Linked DNA regions of Nothobranchius furzeri. The protein of the gene in region 2 interacts with the protein of the main gene of each other region in a pairwise test. Links are inferred from orthologs where the notes say so. Each region holds a gene or a part of one and is shown on either strand. Other genes may lie near its edges. The genes, in order: si:ch211-127m7.2 and ercc6l2.

Region 1 (3,362 bases), on a different chromosome or scaffold from region 2:
CATCAGTCCCTTCCTCTTCTGCCAAACAAGTCGACACGCCGAAGTCACCTGCAGCAGGTGGCAAAGAAGCTCTCCGGATGAAGTAGACTCTGAGAGGAACATTAACTTTGTAGCAACGCTGCTTATCCTGTGTTTTTATGCTCCACTCGCGTTTGTGGCCTTTGCTCTGCTGGCGGTGCTGTTAGCAGCCTACGCTAAAGACAGATCAACACTCAAGTTCAGCATGGTCTGCCAGGCAGCATCAAGCACACTCCTCCTGACTGGCATCGTGGGCTTTTTGCTCTCGTATCAGTCTTATGTGACCTGGGAAGACTTGACCCTTTGGTTTTATTTATGCGTGGGTGTGCAGCTGGAGCTGGTCGTCACCACTGTGCTTACTGGAGTTGCAGGGAAGAATCTGATGCCCTGACTATGATTAAATGAGTTTGCATGATTTAATATGTGACCTGTAAAGAAAACTACACAAACTATTTAGCTAAAATGCATTTTACTGCTGCTGCAGCACTTTTTGCCCCCAAAAACATGCACAACTGATTTCTGAAAATGTGCAACAGAATTTTTGATTTACTGATTAAAGCTGCCGTACTTTCCATGTAGCTTTTTTTTAAAAAGTGAATACAGATCACTCAAGTTTTATTCTCCCCACTAAAAAGTTTAGTTTTGTCCACAAAGAAAAAAAAGACAGGTACAACTCTGCAAAGGTTATTAACTATTTTGGTCAAGTGAAAAAAATCTCCCGTACAAGCCGCAAGGCTTCGTCCTCTTCTACAGCATCTTCTGCCATCTGCTTTTCTTTTTCAGTTTCCACATCCGTGTTTATGAGTTTATGATCATCCTTCTCGCCCTCGGATTCAGGATGCTGTGGGCTCATGTATGGCAACTTTTCGGCCTCTGTAATGTCCAAGCCTGTTTCTGAAACGGAAGTAGTTTCTGGGTCAGCGGAGCAGTCTGATGAAGATTCCTCTAAAATCTCAGTAAAACGCTTTTCTTTTATCCGTGAAGCATCAGGCTTGGGTTTTGCTGTCTTCTGGGCTTGGTTTTTAGCCTGCGTGGAGAACGTACACCCAGAATTAGTCCAGGGAGCTTCAATAATGTTTACACAAGTGTGAGGAGCTTTTTCTTTATTTTATAAAACATTTACTTTGTTGTATTAAATAAATAGAAACACTTAACAGTTCACACAGCAGATTAATCATTGTAGAAATGGGTATAAATTAAAACATGTGAAACAGTGCCACCTGTTGGTGAAATAGTAGCAGCACATCCTCACAGGAACCATCGGTAAGACACGAAGCAGCGGCTTCCACCAGCTCCGCCTCGTTCATACAGTAGAAAACAGCTCTGGAGACATTTAGTGAGATATATTTGTTAGTAAAAGAGATCTGCTGAGAACTTGAACCGAACCAAACACCTGACACGCTCTTCCCATCCCTTTACCTTGCAGCTCTCGGCTTTTTCTGAGTCTTCAGTGGCGCCTTTTTTTCTTTTGCTTTATCTTCTTTCTTTGCCATCCACGAAGGAAGCGTCCGGTGTTTCCCAGACATGTTTGACACACGCAGAACTTTACATCCTCTCTTTTCCTACAGACATTTGTCTAACCAAAATAAACGTAAACCGGAAGAAAACGACGCGTCATTGTGACGTCAAATGACCAATTACAGAACTGAGCGCCCCCTACAGGAAACCTGCACCATCACAACACTGTTTTTCCATGGAAACGATAAATAAAAAAAAAACACCTTGCACGCGTATGTAGTCTATGCTTGCACGTGACCTTTAGATGGCATGAGAAATCTCTTTTATTTCGCTTCAGGAAGGAGTCTGTAAAACTTTGCTGTGATTTCTCACCGTTCAGGCTTTTTTTTATTTATTAAAAAAATGAAAGTTAAAAAATGAAATAAATAATGAAATCGGCAGAGGAATAACCTACATATTCCAAATGAGAAATATTTATATTGTTTCCACCCAAATAAATTAAACGACTTAATGCTAACAAAAACTGAAAATGAGGGATGATGCCTGGGAATGTTTGGAGATATAAACAAGAAAAATGTGAAACATTAAAACTTTTTCAAGTTGTTGCAATTTTTATCTGATGTTTCATGGACTAATTAAAACAGTTTCATTTTTTGCATTGGGATGTTTATTCAAAATTTAAACTATTTTCCATTTAAAATAATTATATGTTTATATTTTCTACCTGCAAACAGTGCTGAATCGATCCAAAGTAAAGACAAGCAGTGGCTAGTGCTGTTGAGCTCACAGCTTCTATAAGCTCTTTGAAGTGTTGAAATATTTACTATAAATAGTGTTTAAATATAAGAAAAATGACAGGATGTTTATTTTATGAAAAAATAATCTAAACTCTAAATTTCTTGCCTAGATGTGTGCAAAAAAGTTACAAAAAAGTGGCCTTCGATTCAGATTAAACGGTGATGAGAGGGATATCTGGCATTGTTTCCTGAAAAATGTTTGTGGAACGACACCTCTAGTAATCTTTTTCTAATTAGTTTGGGTTTGTCACAATTTCTGTTGCACATTTAATAAATCACATTCCCTTTTTCTCCGCTCCTGATTCGTTTTTGTGTTTGTGTGTAATCTAGTGAAGAACATCTGTCTTGTTGGCCCCGGAGTCACGTTCTGAAACCGACTACCGACAGATCATCTCAGAGTCGAGCTGCGTGACACTTTCTTTTCTCTTTTACTCCTTTCTCTTTCTCTTTCTCCACCCTCCCCCTATCATTTTGCTCCCATCATCCCTGTATAAGACTTTCACTTTCTGTCACTCTGCACAACAAGCTGCCATTGTGCACCCAATCCTTTTAATTATCTTCTTTAAGCCTCTTTTCTGCAAGAGCTTAGGCTTTGATTGTAAAGAGCAGCTTGTATATCTGACTAAATTAAGAAAAAGGAGAAAAAAGTTTCTCACACACACACACACACACACACACACACACACACGCACACACACACACACACACACACACACACACACACACACACACACACACACACACTGATGTTTTGCCCAAAAGGTCTCCAGTTCAGAGCATTTCAGGAACAACATATCATTAGAGGTTTGAACTGATAAATAAATGAATAAAATCCTGAAATTCTCTCCAGACTTTTATTAGTCACAGCAGATGGAACGTAGTAAGAATGTTTTTTTTAACCACAGACTCAGATTTAACTAAAAATTGCTTTAATTTTCTGTAATACAGCAAAATAAATAAATAAATAAATAAATAAAAAGTAAAAATAAACTTTCAGAGAATGTAAAACATGATCAAAATTTTTTTTGTTTCTTCTTCAAAAAAACTAAAATTTATCCTCAAAATTAAACATTTTATTTCTAAATTGTC
Region 2 (3,823 bases):
TGCTGCGGAGTTCGTGCCGGAGCGGAGCGGAGCTAGTGGAATTTTGGGGATGCGTCACCGGAGAACAAAACAGGTGATGCGCCTCGCTCCCCAGCAGCGAAACGCATCAGGCACAAATAACAGACAGAAAACATTAAAGGAAATGAGCCGACATGAACGATCGCGTGTTTAATTTGTTTTTGAGGTGGTGACACCTGATTTGGCGGTTCTCAGGACGCAGATGCCTGGAGCGCATCAATGATCAGAGCTTTGCATGCGCAAGCTGGTTAAGATTAGGATGGGGGTGAGGGGAAGGTAAAATTGCAAGAGGGAAAAGGTCAGAGTTTGGTTAAATGTCCGTTTTACCGCCGGTGTCAGTACCGACGCTCTGACACAGCGCGTCGCCTCCGCCTCCCGACGCGAGGAGCTCATCACCTGCTGGAGGACTGCATCTTGTCAGTCATTATCACGTGACAGCGACTAGTCGATGACAGGCATAAAAAGTCACTACAGAGCCGTGAAGTCGACTAGTCGACTAGTTCATACAACCCCTAGTGCAGACAAACCTAGGACATGGTCGATGGTCTTCTTCTTTTCTGTAGACGCCGGAGATCTCGGCCTTTTCAGAGATGCTCGTCTCCCGGTGGAGGTCGTCTGTTCGTCCTCTGAAGATGTGAATGTCTCTATGTCCTCTCTGTATCTAGATCCAGCTTTGCTCCTTACACCAGCACTGTGCCTTCTTGTGATGTGATCGGCCTTTCCTCGTCCTCCATCTCGTTTGTATGGATTCCAACCATCTTTATCGCAACACATCTTCGCTTCGAAGTCTAGATCGTCTGATTCATCGGAGTAACTGTCAAATAGGTGAACGTCGGGAACAGTAGTTTTGAGTTTATGAGCTTTCTTGTTGTCCGGTGAGGAATTTTCATCGCTCTTGTCATCCGATGCAGTTTGTTTATCCATCCCTCGTTTCAGACCCTGCCTCCGCCTCACTGCGTATTCCCCCTCGTTAAACATGTTTCCATTACCTTCATGTTTTCCGTCGGAGTCAGAGGATTTGTTTTTTGTTTCGCATTTGGGAAGACTGACAGCACTAGTATTTCCTGGACTGGACGTCTTGGAGCTGGCAGTGGAATCACCCTCTACACGCTGATCTTCAGCCTCTTCAGAAGAGCTGCTGTCCTCCTTTGCGTCTGGTTTTTCTTTCACCCTTTCGAGGAGTTTAGAGAAGCCAAGCTGAAGGAGGCCCATCCGACCGGGAGACGAACTTGCCCCCTCACGTTTGTTGTCATCATCTCCACCCGGGTTTCTCTTTAGCCCCTGCACCTCCTCATCCTCTGATCCACTCCCACAGCTGAAGTCCAGGAGATAACTGGGGATCTCTAACGTGTCTCTCGTCTTCTCAGCTGCTTCATCCTTAGACAGGGGGCCATTTTTGAGTGGATCTCCGGGTTCCTGAAGTAAAAAAAAAAAAAAAAAAAAGCATAAAGCGAAAGAAAAACACGGATAGCCAAAAGAGTGGTACACAAGCAAGAGAATGATATGAAACAGAATTAGCTACAAATTCTTCATTTCCATTTTTAATACCATCTTTAGGTGGAGGCCGCGCAGTGGCGCAGTGGTTAGAGCTGTTGCCTTGCAGCAAGAAGGTCCTGGGTTTGCTTCCCGGCCTGGGATCTTTCTGCATGGAGTTTGCATGTTCTCCCTGTGCATGCGTGGGTTCTCTCCAGGTACTCCGGCTTCCTCCCGCAGTCCAAAAACATGACTGTTAGGTTGATTGGTCTGTCTAAATTGTCCTTAGGTGTGTGTGTGTGTGTGTGTGTGCATGACTGTTTGTCCTGCGTGTCTCTGTGTTGCCCTGCGATGGACTGGCTCTCTGTCCAGGGTGTACCCCGCCTGATTGCCCGTTGACCGCTGGAGATAGGCACCAGTGCCCCCCCCCCCCCCCCCCCCCCCCGACCCTACGTGGACAAGCGGTTTCAGAAAACGGATGGATGGATCTTTAGGTGGGAGGTTTCACTGGACGATGGAAAACAGATGATTCCCAACAACAAATCTTAATAAACACGGATGTGACATGAGCCCTCAACTATGATGCAACTGGCAGAAAACAAAATAACAATTAAATAGAAAAATGGACTTTTTTTAAGTCCACTCCTCTCATTAGGTCAAGCAAGTCATTAAATCCAGCTGCTGAGACAAGAACCTCATCACCATTCGGCACTACGACTAAAGACGAACCAAAATAATCGAATGGTGAATGGGTTTTATTCAGCTTACACAACTTAAACTTTTGATTTTTTTTCACTAAATATCTGTGCTTAGATGATTTCTGTAAGAAGTTTGTCTTTTTTTCCACTCCAAGGACGTGAGCTGTGGTCTGCTAGCATGACAATGCGTGGGTTGGTTTGACTGACAGATTAAAAGAAGCCCGTTTGAGGTACTCCCTCTTTCACATGGGAATAAGGGAGTGAGTGATCCACTTGGGAGAGGAGATGGGAAAGGTTTGGGAAAGACGAGAGCCCCGTGTCTCTGAGAACGGCAGAGCTACTCACGCCATCTCCCTTCGTCTCCTCCTCCTTCTCGCCCCCTCTGTGTGTTCTTGTTGTCATCACGCCGGCCTCCACTTGTCCTTCCCGCTGACAAGATAAATATAAACATTCAAACCACAACTTGGAGCTGTCAGGATTATGAAAATGAAACATGATCTATTCTTGCAAACCTCTAAACTTTAGATGTTTGCAAGAATTTTAAATATAAAGAGGCTCATTCCTTTACATTTTAAATTGTGATTTCCAGGTTTTTTTTTTTGGTCACAATTTTCACAGGAATGCACTTTTTCAATGTTTTGTTAACTTATCTTTCAGCAACTGTTTCGTTTGTGTGTGTAAAACTCTCAATAATGTGATTTTGAACAGGCCACCAAAGACATGCTAGATCTCTGACCTCCAGAATCCTGCATGTGAGACACGTTCCTTCCATTTGCAGCCTGAAGAGATTTTTGATCCCAAACAGTTCTCCTTTGTAGACGTCGTTCCTCTGCACCGCCTCAAAGTACCTCCGGGCGCTCTCCTTGCCAACAACTGAGCTCTGCAATTGCTAGTGAAGATAAAATCACGCATTGAACCGTTAGCATGAGGTTTAGCATCAGGCTTACACTCAAGAAGAGAGGATTTAGGGTTTGAACGAATAAAATATGAAATCTTTATTTTAGGAACAGTTACAGCGTGAGCTGCTCTAACCTTTCTCAAATAGAAATGTATATTTATTGCAGAAGTTAAAGATGCATGACGTAAGAGTGACATCTTGTGGTCAGATGTAGGTACCGCAGTCTCTGTATTAAAAGAAACAAGTCCGCTCTGAGTAGCTGTTTCCCATTACGGCTCAGCGCCAGAAGACTCTAGATGGTGAGCGATGACGAGTCATGTGCAGTAGGTTGATAAATATATTTCACTGTAACATCGAGTTGTTGGTAATTAAAAAAATAGCTTGAGATATTTTTAGAGCAGACAATATTTTACTAATTCACCGTTAGCATTGTTAGCTCAGTGTTAGCGTCTAGACTCTTCACCCGATTTTAGAGTAAAACGAAAAGATGCCGTGCTGTTCTTAGAGGCACAAGAAATAACTTCTGGGTCGCTCCTGCTTACTGGCTAACAATCTGTCCAAAACGCTGCTGCTCTTCGCTGACAGTGCCAAATAAAAAATGCTGGAACAGGAGTGTTTGTGTTGACTTGGCAACCTTGTGGGCTCACATATGATTGGCTCTGAAACCAGGAAGTATGGAGGCAGGAGAGAATATAACTTGGTCTTTTTAAAAGTAAAAAAAAAAAAAAAAAAAAAA

Evidence for each region.
Region 1: the proteins of ercc6l2 (region 2) and si:ch211-127m7.2 interact in binary tests that used the Homo sapiens proteins (3 or more experiments, as listed by UniProt). The two-hybrid records come from large-scale screens. The link is inferred for Nothobranchius furzeri from reciprocal best matches to the Homo sapiens genes ERCC6L2 and CYREN.

Annotation. Positions count from the first base shown.
Region 1 is NC_091744.1:72,125,723-72,129,084, forward strand, and holds si:ch211-127m7.2 (cell cycle regulator of non-homologous end joining), read right to left. Parts: upstream 2,010-3,362; 5' UTR 1,545-2,009; coding exon 1,438-1,544; intron 1,342-1,437; coding exon 1,239-1,341; intron 1,046-1,238; coding exon 719-1,045; 3' UTR 632-718; downstream 1-631. Other genes in the region: uncharacterized protein, read left to right, coding at 1-409. UniProt on the Homo sapiens protein: Cell-cycle-specific regulator of classical non-homologous end joining (NHEJ) of DNA double-strand break (DSB) repair, which can act both as an activator or inhibitor of NHEJ, depending on the cell cycle phase.
Region 2 is NC_091757.1:51,349,182-51,353,004, reverse strand, and holds part of ercc6l2 (DNA excision repair protein ERCC-6-like 2), read right to left. Parts: intron 3,079-3,823; coding exon 2,926-3,078; intron 2,619-2,925; coding exon 2,535-2,618; intron 1,435-2,534; coding exon 546-1,434; intron 1-545. UniProt on the Homo sapiens protein: Promotes double-strand break (DSB) end-joining and facilitates programmed recombination by controlling how DNA ends are joined in a spatially oriented manner during repair.